3 linked regions of the Danio rerio genome follow. The protein of the gene in region 1 interacts with the protein of each later gene in a biochemical or structural test. Links are inferred from orthologs where the notes say so. Each region holds a gene or a part of one and is shown in the gene's direction. Other genes may lie near its edges. The genes, in order: ddit3, fosab and atf3.

Region 1 (4,164 bases):
ACAGAGGCACCGTAATGTGTATGTAAAGTCAGTCCCAGGGTTTTATCTAAGTGTCAATACAAGGGAAATCTGAGTGGAGTTTTTGTCTTCTGATATATCTCGTATATATGTGTGTGTTTGTGTGTGTGTGTGTGTGTGTTTGTGTGTGTGTGTATACACTAAGACTAGTCTTAAGTAGATGTTATAAAATGATAACGAATACACTTTATGAAAATTACACCATCTTTGACCCATTGGAAACATGTTCAATTTTATATTTTGAAGACCAAATGTATTTGATATTTTTATCTTTACAAATATAGAGTTTATATTTTGAACACCAGTATATTCCAATAATATGTTAAAATAATTATGATATACTGAAATATCAACTCTTTGAGTGACCTAACTAGGCTATAGGGTCCATGTTGGGGAAAACACCCGAACACAGATTAAAACCTAATCTGCTGGAGACTAATCTCTGAACCAGATTCTGACCTTTACCATCTCAACGTCACTTTATGGGCTCATTTAATGACACTAAACGGCTGTGTTGAAGCATAACAGCGGTCATATAGTTTTGTTTTATAGACTGAGTGTGTGTGTGTGTGTGTGTGTGTGTGTGTGTTGAGCTCGGGCTCTTCCGCGTGGCTCGGGTGGGGTGGAGGATCCTCAAACTCCTATGGAAGATCCTGATTCCATAGGAAACATGAAAGAATCGCCTCAGGTCACCAGAGAGGGATTATTAAAGATGAAAAAAGTGTGAACAAATGTGTTGAATATCACACGGATATTACCGTCGCCTATTTCTACAGGCGCATATGCGAACGCCAGCAGAAATGGAGAGATTTTCCTACACCCTTATAAGGCGGTTCGTCAGTTTTCTTTTTTTCTCTTTAACGAAAGGTTGTTTAATAAAACATGCTCGGGCTCTGCTAGTCTTATCTCCGACTAGAAACCGGTTGCCAACGATTGCATCATTCCTTTCATGTGACTCCCTTACGCCCCAAATTCGTCCTGGCCGTCTTATGACTGCATCACATCTGCGGCTCAACCGAACCCGCGCAGAGCGAGACAACCAGCAGAGTCGCAGAGTCCCGCCCCCCGCGCTCAGCGCGGATGCTCATTGGATGTCTCTAAGCAGAAGAATGTCCACCGCCCAGCCTCATTGGACCAGGCGGCCGACCATCTCCTGTCAGTTCCTCGTGATTTGCGTTAGGTTGCGCCTCAAGATCCTTCCCCCGGAGTTCGGTTGGAGTCTCTCTATAAATGTCCCCGGGAGTTTCCGAAATCCACACTCGGTGACTTCAGCTGAACAATGGTTAACATGAGCGATCAGCCATCTCTACAAAAACACACACAGACCCTGAATCAGAAGCAGCCGAGGAAAAGAAACAATAAAAAGAAAAGGGTGAGTGTCATCTCTATTATTCTCTGCTCTTTACTGTGATCTTCTGGACTTTTCTTGCTGTTTTCCGTCAAGATGTTTTTCCTCTTCTGGAAAACGGGAGCGCGCATGTTTTGGCGACTCCTGAGCTGTTTTTGGACTACAGTTGCTCATCTCGAGTTTCACTGGACATGTTTTATTTCTATTTCATTATTAGTTTTATCCTATTCTTTTATAAACATTTACTCCATCAGTAACTCTTTCTTCAAAACTGCGCCGTGACAGCTGTCATAACTGTACAGTCTCGCTATTTCTGACGGACACGCGACAACTTTTTTTCCGCGAACGCCTTCATATGAACTCGTATCATTATTACTTCTTCCGATCGCCTCCCGCACTCCTGTCAGCGAAAACTGCGCGACATCAACTTTTCACAGATCGCGAAATCACGCCGACGTGGTCGCGACGCAGATCTCGTCGCGTTTTTAAATCGCTGAAGTACTTTTAAAGTGCGAGTTCGCGTCGAAGTGTCGCCCTTTGTTTCCTCAGTCCTGTACTTTGATTCCATGACGTCATTGGCTCGCTGTCAGTTTCGTAAACCCCGCTCCAGATGCGCACAATTAACAACAACACTCAATCCGGCTCCCAGACCGACACACGAGCTCCATTACACTGGAATGCGTCGATCCTCCTGTCGTTATTTAAACTACTCGATTCATTCACTGAGTAACTTTAAATCCAAAAGACAACAAACACAAGGCGTGACATTTCTTATTTATCATATTTTAATACATAATAAAACCATAATGTTTAGTTTATGATGATCTCTATAAATAAAAACAACAGTGGAGTGCCGCGGGTGTGTGTTGGCTCCGCTTTCATTGTCTCGCACTCACTTCTGAAGTCCTCTGTTAGCTGTGCAGTGTGTGTGTGTGTGTGTGTGTTGTGTCTGCGCTGTTCTTCCAGCTGATCTTGTGAATAAACCCGGCTGAGAGTGAGGCTGATCCGGCTTGTTTTGACGGACAGTTTGTGCGTGTGTGTGTTTGTGCGTGCACGCGCAGAGGGCGCCCTCGAGCACACAATGCGCCTTTGTTTACATAAAAAAACACAATGACCTAATTTCACTTTCCACATTAAAGAATCCATAACTGCTATGCGTTATTATTAACTTTACAATCATTTAAGCATTGCTGAATACACACTCGGGTTCCTTTATCTCTATGCTTTATACCACTTCATTGTTCTTTTTGCTGGCTTTCCTGTTTGTGTTTGTTTCACAGATGACCTAAACATGCATTTATGTTTCATATTCTTTTATTAAATACTTTTGGTAACCATGAACTGTGGCTTGAGCTCTTTCATTTTTTGTTTATTTTCTAGAGTTATTGGGACAAAATATCGCCAACAACTCACATTCAAACTTGATTGACAAGAGTCTCTTTATAAGGTGAGCACTTTACTTGATTCATTCAAACACAGTGATGTGAAAGGAGTTTAATAAGCAACACTAAACATGGTTAATAAAGTTAAGGGACACACAAAACTCCCAGTGTTCATGCATGCTTGTGAATCTCCAGGGCTTGTTTGTTTGTTTGTTTGTTTGTTGTTATGCAGTGACGATGTTCGGCCACTATGTGTCCTTATTTCACACAGTGGCCGAGCAGTCAATCTTAATGTCGTGTATAATAATAACGGGTCACCCAGATAAAGCGCGTACTCCCCAAACCTCTCTCAGCTGTACGCTGCGCTGCGCTCAAGACGCATCGGAGGTTTTTTTCTTGCCGCTTCTTCAGCACAGTTGATTGATTTGTGGTGTCGCCGGTCAGGTCTGGTGTGCTAGGAGTGGGAGCGTGTCGTATTGTGTCTGTGGATAGCGACTGATTGGTGCGATGACTGCGGAGTGGCTGTACCCCCCTGGCGTGGGGCCGCTGTGTGGTGCAGAGTTGGAGGCGTGGTATGAAGACCTACAGGATATACTGGGCTCCGACACGGGCGGGGCCAAACTTACAAGAGCCCCGCCTTCTTCAGAGGTCAGTAGCGTCTGGAATCGTTCAAAATACGTTTAACTTTCCCTACGTTTACTAACGATTTCTTTTGTCATGCAGAAGGAGCCTGAGTTTTTGGATGTTTTGGAGAGCTGTTCGCTCACCTGGTTGACCGAAGGGCAGGTATGGGGCGACGGGGTGCAACGGGTCACCGAAGATCCGCCCGTTCACCAATCGCCACCAAGGCAAGAAGAACGAACCACGGAGAACACCTCATCCGGAGATCTCCTTCCGCCGGAGTTTTTCGAACTCCTCAGCGAAGGTGGTGTTGGTGACACCATGGTAAACGGAGGCGCTGGGTATCACCTGCATGCACCTCCATCTCCAGCCGCCAGCGAAGAGGAGGAGCTCCCGACGGTTCCCGACACATCATCCTGCTCCTCAGCGTCCCGTTCGCCTTCTCTAAACTGCTCCCCGCCGGCATCTCCACCCGTCTCCTCCTCACGCAAAAGAAAACGAGGCGGCGCACTTTGCTCTGCATCCCCTGGGAAAAAGAGCCGCAGAGAGCGCGAACAGGAGAATGAAAGGAAAGTGCAGGAGCTGACGGATCAAAACGAGCGGCTGAAAGCCGAGATCGAGCGACTGGGCGAGGAGGTGCAGAGGACGCGGCGGGCGCTTATCGAAAGACTGGTCAACACCCGCAGGTGAATGAGCAACAGGAGGACATGTAGAGAAGAAGGGGACGCCAACAATCGGAGGAAATTCTTCTTGTGGAGAGCGTGAAATGCACATTTAGAGGGAGATAAAAGACAC
Region 2 (4,063 bases), on another chromosome or scaffold:
TACCCGTAAAGTATACACAATCAAAGCGGCGTGTTTATTTACCGGCAATACACAAAGCAGACTCTCGCTGCTGAAAGGTGAAACTTCAGAGTTCATTTGCACAGGCTCGTGTTGCAGTGACGACAGTGGGAGGGGCGTCGCTTAGACAACGCGGAAGATCAAACAAAACACGAGCAGAGAAGTGGATCAGTGACGTCACATGGGAACGCTGATAGAGCTGTTTTCGCTTGTTAATCAATAACAAACCTCATGTTTGCCCGTAGCCAACGGCAGACAAGTAATAAACGAAGACTTTTATACATGATAAACGTATAAATACGGACAATTAATGATGAGCAATACAAAAATGGTCCCTAAATAAACATGATTGAACTGATGTAGATGATTTTAATACATAATATAGTGATTCATATATTTTATTAAATATACTATAACGTATATATTGAAAAATGTATTGAATATAGCAGATTTAACACATTTAGACTACTACAAATCTTGCATTATTATTATTTACTGTGATGCAATAGGCTGAGGAAATAAATGAGCTCAGCATTTTGTTACAAAGGAATCCCTCGTTAACCGTGTGAAGGCAGTTCACACTGGAAATACGTGGTTTATGAGTCGACACGCCCTTTATACACCCAAAGGTACGAACACAGCCCGGGGCATGAAAGACTTTGAATACTTCTGCACAGAAATGATGAAATCTAGGACAACAGGTGCCATGTAAACACAGCATGGACGTGATATGTACTTAAAAAGACATATTCAATTTTGATCAAATGATTGTGTCAAGAAAATAATATAAAGTCATTAAATCAAGTTCATAAACTATAATAAAAATACATTTAGAGCTGATATAATAAGTATATTCTGTTAAATGCTGTTTTTATTTATTTATTTACTTGTAAAACATTGAAATCTTCTCGAACTATCTTTACATAATGCTGCTCACTTGCACAGAGTATTTCCCATAAGCACTCCGCCTCTTCAGGATGTTTTCCATATAAGTTAAATGACGTCTTGGGATACCCTGCTACGGAACATCGTCTCTTTCACTCCGTTTCACCCAGAAATAACAACATGCGAATGTTTTTAAAGATAAAATCTTACGTATTAAGCGTGTATTCTTGCATTATTAATGTTTCGATAATGTATTCAGTAAAATGCGCTCGCGAAGACGTGTTTTTAACGTTTCTATGCAAACACTGAACGCACATGGCCACGCCCCTCCCTTTGACGTCAGGCACAGATCTGGATATAAACCCCGCGAGCGCTGTGGAGCGGCAGTCAAACTTTGGATACCAAAACAGAGAAAAGAGCAGCAGACGAGCAAGGAAATACAAGACCGGAGCGTTTTTAACTTTCTGGATATATTAGCGCTGGATAGCTCGTGCTTTTCGACTTTTGACAGGATGATGTTTACCAGCCTTAACGCCGACTGCGACGCGTCTTCCCGGTGCAGCACGGCTTCACCGAGCGGCGACAGCGTCGGGTATTACCCGCTCAACCAGACTCAGGTATTTACATGACAGCAATATATTTAGAATGATCATTTCAGATAAATCATGATTTAAGTCAGTTTATTTATGTTTTTAAAGTATATTATGTTCTGTATTATGTTATAATCTGAATGAAACCCCATAAACAGTAATATAAACAAATAAATTGTATATATATTAGTTTTGTGACTAATCAAAATATATTGTTTATCATATAATAAACGATTTCATATTCTATATTTCAGGAGTTCACGGATCTGAGTGTCTCAAGTGCCTCTTTCGTGCCAACTGTCACGGCGATCTCTTCATGCCCGGACTTGCAGTGGATGGTCCAGCCCATGATCTCCTCTGTGGCGCCCTCCAACGGCGCAGCTCAATCCTACAACCCGAGCTCTTACCCCAAAATGAGGGTTACTGGAGCAAAGACCTCCAACAAGAGAAGCAGATCTGAACAGGTAAATAATTTGCAATTAACTTTTGTTTTAAAATCAACTGACAAACAACTGACAATCTACATTTTGAATGTTAATTTGCCAATGCTAAAACACCCTTATTTTTGTGCTTCTGCAGCTTTCTCCAGAAGAAGAAGAGAAGAAAAGAGTACGTCGTGAACGAAACAAGATGGCTGCTGCGAAATGCCGCAACCGTCGACGTGAACTCACCGATACACTGCAAGCTGTAAGTATTCTGCATTTTCCCTCCAAATCCCATTCTAGCTCGTTCCATCCATGACATCATTAAACTAACCCTTTGATGTTCCACAACAGGAAACTGACCAGCTTGAGGATGAAAAATCCGCCCTGCAGAACGACATCGCCAACCTGCTCAAAGAAAAAGAGAGGTTAGAGTTCATCCTCGCCGCACACAAACCCATCTGCAAGATCCCGGCCGACGCCAGCTTCCCAGAGCCGTCCTCCTCTCCCATGGGCTCCATCTCAGTCCCAGAGATCGTCACTACCTCAGTGGTCTCTTCCACACCAAACACATCAATCACGACCTCTTCCAGCAGCCTGCTGTTCTCCAGCACGGCCTCCACCGACAGCTTCAGCTCCACCACAGTGAAGATCTCTGATCTGGAGCCCACTCTAGAGGAGTCTCTGGAGCTCCTGGCTAAAGCGGAGCTGGAAACGGCTCGCTCGGTTCCAGACATGGACCTGTCCAACTCTCTGTACACTCAAGACTGGGAGCCGCTCTACACGCCGGCTAACACTGACCTGGAGCCGCTTTGCACACCCGTCGTCACCTGCACTCCAGCCTGCACCACCTACACGTCTTCCTTCATGTTCACCTACCCAGAAAACGACGTCTTCCCGACATCAGTGCATCGCAGGGGCAGCAGCAGCAACGATCAGTCGTCCGACTCCTTGAATTCCCCAACCCTCCTCACTCTTTGAGATTCCACTAAAGACTATTAGTATTTATATCTGTGACTTGATTTCGAATGGCATTGCAGGGCTATGGAAGTGACTCTAAAGCAATGGATATTGCTTCCTATATTTATCTGAACCATACATGCCTGCCACATGTAGCAAGATAAGCATGGATCAACTGATTTTATTTGCATTAATGATCTGGTTAGTGTTGAGTTAACCTAATATAGTTATTTTTCTGAGTTTACCGGTGCTAGATTTGTTGTATTTAGTGTGTTCTGAGCAATAGAGAACTATCATGTTATTTTTTTTCGGCCGTTTAACGGTTGATTTCTGAACGTGTGAATGTTGTTTACTCAAATGTGTGCTGCCTAACCATTGCATTAAATGGTCTGACGTCCAAGTATGAAGTTTTCTGTGAAAACGTAGTCTCTCTTTTAATTTATGGAGTTTTTATTTTTGTACTGAAATGTGAACTTGCGAATTGTTTGCAAAAAACAAACAAAAAAAACTAGACACAATAAATATTAAATGTATAAACTAAAAGATTTGTGTGAATGCGAGCTTATTGTGTGGCTTGAAAATACAGTTTACAGCAGTGTTTCCCAACCATGTTCCTGAAGGACAACCAACACTGCACATTTGTTGCTAGATCAAATACGGTTGAGGATGGAAGTTAACTAAGTAGACTGAGAAGGCTGTTATCGTCCATCCACATGGTTAATCATCTATAGATCACATATGGTTGCGGCCGGATGTTAGCGAGATTTATATTATTTATTAAATTTCCTATTAATTGTATTCTATTAACGGCTTCCCCCACCCCAACTATCACAGTAATGTAAAAACAGTCGATGTATGGAGTATTACTTATGCTATCTGTTAAAATAATTCATTCATTTTCTTGTCGGCTTAGCCCCTTTATTAATTTGGGGTCGCCACAGCGGAATGAACCGCCAACTTATCCAGCACGTTTTTATGCAGCGAATGCCCTTCCAGCTGCAACCCATTCCTGGGAAAGCTATCTATTAAATTACCCAATACATTTTATTTTTTAATACCCACCCCCAACCAAACCTAACAATCACAGTACTGTAAAGATATTAATTATTGTTATAGAGTGTCATTAAAAAACGCTGCTATATTGATGTGCATATCGCACCTCCAGCCGGCCACATATCCAATGTAGAC
Region 3 (4,302 bases), on another chromosome or scaffold:
TTAGACACGACTCCTTGGTAACATTATTTAGTGTCCAAGCACAAATGTATGTAATAAAGGAGTGTTTTATTGGTGATTGCACCAGGACGGTGAGGAGAGATTACTGGAAATTTCCAGAACACATAGGAAAGAGTGTGGACTGGGCTGTGTAATAATGAACAGCTACGGCAAGAAAGCTGTGCTTCACATTGAAAAGAGGAATGCAGACACTGCTGACGACCCACTCCCTTAAAACATCACCAAATCACTGCGTTAAATATTGAATTGAAAGGAAAGTGAAATAGAAAAACATGAGAAAGATAACAAGCCTATCACTAATTTTACTATATATTTATTAAGCAAACTTTTATTTTATAGTGTTTTGTTACATATTAGATGTACCAAAACTAATTAAGAAAAAAACTTACTCATATCCACCAACTTATTAGTTTAGACAGACAGACAGACAGACAGACAGACAGACAGACAGACAGACAGACAGACAGACAGACAGACAGACAGACAGACAGACAGACAGACAGACAGACAGACAGACAGACAGACAGACAGACAGACAGACAGACAGATAGATAGATAGATAGATAGATAGATAGATAATATTTATAGATAGATTTGTTTTAGTGTTCTTTTTAGACAGAATATGCCTAAAAATAAATTAAATGCATAATTATTTGCAAATAAAATGAACCTTAAATTAATTTTACTCAGTACTTGATATAATGTATAATTAAAAGTAACAAGGATGCTCAAATAAAGTGTAATAAATCGAATTAAACTTTTAAAGTTGAATACACTCAAATATTCAACCCTCTAAAAACTGAAAACCTCTAAATGTCATGTTACAATATTACATAACAATAATTAAATTATTATTAAATGATAAAATCCTAAATTCAGTCAGAAACAAACCAACTAAATTCAAACGCCATAAAAGATATTCAAAGCTGTTTTTTCCCTGAGCCAGTGGACATTTAAAACCAAATTTAAAGCTTTTAAAAAAACAGCCATATACACACTGACCTTGGCTTCATCTCTCCATCTCTTCATAAAAATACTAATAAAAAAAAGACATAAACAAGAAAACATAGGCTAAGTGTTTTTAACTTAACAGACCAAGAGGGATTTTATATGCTCTCTTTCAAACCAAGCAGACAGTCTGTCAGTCAGTCAGTCAAACTCTCTCTCTTTCTCATATCTCTTTTTTCAAAACTATTCGGCACATGACATTAGAGCATACCAGAGATGGCCTGTCATTACACGAGTATATGTCTTTATTTGCTCATTAGGTTAACATGCCAGCTCGTCAGCTTCACTATTGTGAGGGAGGGCGGGAGTTTGCCCAGTTATGGTGCGCGGCGGAGAGGGTTGCCTGATTGCATCATCGCGAAAGGACAGCGCCGCTGATGCTATAAATAGGGTGACGTCACTCGCCCCGCCCCTAGTAGTAGTTCACGTCCTCCAGCCATAAAAAGGGGTGATGCAACGAGCCGGCGACAACTGTAACTTTAGCAGCTGAGCGCGAGAACAGTCCGGCATCAGGAGAGCATCACAAACACACGCGCCTACATTTATTTACACACAACCAGGTAAGAGACGGCATTGTAGATTTCCTATTCATCGCTATTCTGGAACACGCTGTGGGAAAACGTCTATGGTGTGCTTGGTTTGGGCTACTAAAGGGAGATTTTTGCGTTTATGGGTCAAGCGATTGTATTTAGGTTTGAGTTAACGAACTCTTTTTTAACGAACTTTTATTTAGCTATAATGTATGTGCATTACTGTTTTTTTGCGTTAATATTTGTTCGATATTTATTAAAATTGGATTAAAACTGATTGATTTAAGTTCTCCTGTTTTCAAATTGTTTAACCGACAATGTTACGTCAGTAAGTTTACTTCATCGACAATGTGTAACACGAATACAACTCATGAAATAGTTAAAGATTATGATTTCATATAGCCTACTCTGTATTGAAAACCTGTCACTTAAATGTTAAAATATTAGGACTAATAAGGTTCTTAATCAATATTTGATGGTTTAGATTATTCTGTTTGCGAGTTGTTACTGTAGGCTATAATGTATTTGTACAGTAGTACACATACATTAGCAAAACGTTTGTTGAAATGAATGTTTATGACAAAAAAAAGCGATAGCATACTGTATAAAGAGAGCAAAACGTCTATAATACGTCATTGTAAAAGCAAAATATTGACAGCTGTGGTAGCCAGAACCTATGAAAACCCCTATAAATACTGTAATAATGTAACGAGTAAGATTGCACTTTAATAATTGTAAGTTGTACAGTTTCTATCTATAATTGAATGGTAACGTTAATGTTTATTTACATTATTTATTCCTTTAAAAAGGATTAAAACCGATTGATACGAATACAACTCATTAAATAGTTAAAGATTATAACTTTACTATTTTACACTGTACTACAAACCTGTCAGTCAAATGTTTAAAATATTATTATTAATATGAAATTGTTCATTAATATTTGATGGGTTTAGATTATTCTGTTAGCTAGTCGTTACTTTATGTATTCCTGTCTAGTCATACACATAAAATAACAAAAAAGTGTGTTAAAATGAGTGTTTATGACAAAAAAAGCGATATACTGTGTAAAGAGAGTAAAACATCTATAATACGTCACTGTAAAAAAATATATATATATTGACAGCTGTGGAAGCTGGGAGCTTTTAAATTACGGTTGTCATTGTAAGATTGATTGAGAATGACATGTGGTAAAAATTGTTAGCCAAATTACTTTCTGCTCATGATATCTAGCCTTTTATTAGCCAGTTGTGTCTGTATAATATAATATAATATAATATAATATAATATAATATAATATAATATAATATAATATAATATAATATAAAAACTTTAAAAACATAAACCATAAACGTAACATAACAAAATTTAACAACACAAGAACTTGTGACTACAATATTCTCCCTTAATCAAAACTTTATCACTTTAAAATCTCTTATTACTTAAAATCACTTATCACTTTAAAATGCATATCATTTAATGAATTTAATATTATATTAATCACCTTGTTAAATGTAATATTTATATAAATATCATAAATGACAATAATATTTAACAAGGAATATATATTTTAATTACAATAACTGTATAACTATTGTTTATATAGTTTATTATTATTAACAAATTATAACTGATGGTATATAATTATAACATTATGCAATTAAACACTTTTATTTCTAAAATACAATATTTAATGATCATTTTTAAATGTTGTTTTTGTTACAATTTAATTAATGGGTCTTACTCTATAAATCTGATGTTCTTAATCATTTTCTAACTATAACACAGTTATTTCAGTAGTTTTATAGAGAAAGGTGTAACATTTTTACTTGTTTATTTATTTATCTATCTTACCATTTTCCTCGTTAACATCATGATTTAACTGTTGTTTTGTATTTTTTTAGATTTCGGCATGATGCTTCAGCACCCTGGTTTGGGTCCGTCAGAGATCAGTGCATCAGCTTTGGTTCCCTGTCTCTCTCCGCCCGGCTCCCTCACGCTGGACGACTTCACAAACTTCACTCCATTAGTGAAAGAGGAGCTGCGCTACGCCATCCAGAACAAACGCATGTCCAACGGCATGAGCACCCTGACCACTGACAGAGCCTGCATGAACACTGAGAGACCCACCGAACTACCTGGGATGAAGCGAGAGGTAAGACCCACTCATTTACTGGCACAAATGTTTTTTTTTTTTTTAAGTGTAATTTCTCATATTTCACATTGGTTATATTGAGTAACGTGGACGTAGAAAAGCCATGCTTGCACAATTCACTTGTTCATCCACTTGTGGGCATTTTAGGTAGTTTGGCTTTCCCAAATTGTTAGATGTTGTTATTTCAGGCTGTCCCAGAGGAGAACGACCGAAGGAAAAGAAGAAGGGAAAGAAACAAAATTGCAGCAGCAAAATGTCGGAACAAGAAAAAGGAGAAAACCGATAATTTACAAAAGGTATTACTTGTTATTTAGCATTTGATTAAAAAACGTAACATTTATATGAACATATATTATATCTGTTATTTTTTATTATTGATCTTTTTTGCTATTTTTAACTGTATTTGATTACATTATATCTATTACATCTACAGTTGAAGTCAGAATTATTAGGCCCCTTTAATTAATTAATGTTTTTTTAATTTTACAAATGATGTTTAACAGAGCAAGGAAATTTTTACTGTATGTCTGATAGTATTTTTTCTTCTGGAAAAAGTCTTATTTGTTTTATTTTGAGTAGAATAAAAGCATT

The links.
Region 2: the proteins of ddit3 (region 1) and fosab form a complex in vitro, tested with the Homo sapiens proteins (2 studies listed by BioGRID and IntAct, with this or other methods). The link is inferred for Danio rerio from reciprocal best matches to the Homo sapiens genes DDIT3 and FOS.
Region 3: the proteins of ddit3 (region 1) and atf3 form a complex in vitro, tested with the Homo sapiens proteins (2 studies listed by BioGRID and IntAct, with this or other methods). The link is inferred for Danio rerio from reciprocal best matches to the Homo sapiens genes DDIT3 and ATF3.

What each region holds. Positions count from the first base shown.
Region 1 is NC_133181.1:61,712,269-61,716,432, forward strand, and holds the start of ddit3 (DNA damage-inducible transcript 3 protein), read left to right. Parts: upstream 1-1,273; 5' UTR 1,274-1,390; intron 1,391-2,746; 5' UTR 2,747-2,813; intron 2,814-3,192; 5' UTR 3,193-3,255; coding exon 3,256-3,396; intron 3,397-3,471; coding exon 3,472-4,059; 3' UTR 4,060-4,164. UniProt on the Homo sapiens protein: Multifunctional transcription factor in endoplasmic reticulum (ER) stress response. Plays an essential role in the response to a wide variety of cell stresses and induces cell cycle arrest and apoptosis in response to ER stress.
Region 2 is NC_133195.1:49,905,971-49,910,033, reverse strand, and holds fosab (v-fos FBJ murine osteosarcoma viral oncogene homolog Ab), read left to right. Parts: upstream 1-1,304; 5' UTR 1,305-1,415; coding exon 1,416-1,520; intron 1,521-1,747; coding exon 1,748-1,957; intron 1,958-2,072; coding exon 2,073-2,180; intron 2,181-2,269; coding exon 2,270-2,896; 3' UTR 2,897-3,418; downstream 3,419-4,063. UniProt on the Homo sapiens protein: Nuclear phosphoprotein which forms a tight but non-covalently linked complex with the JUN/AP-1 transcription factor. In the heterodimer, FOS and JUN/AP-1 basic regions each seems to interact with symmetrical DNA half sites.
Region 3 is NC_133195.1:41,075,729-41,080,030, forward strand, and holds the start of atf3 (cyclic AMP-dependent transcription factor ATF-3), read left to right. Parts: upstream 1-1,495; 5' UTR 1,496-1,586; intron 1,587-3,460; 5' UTR 3,461-3,468; coding exon 3,469-3,711; intron 3,712-3,858; coding exon of another isoform or gene 3,859-3,899; coding exon 3,900-4,007; intron 4,008-4,302.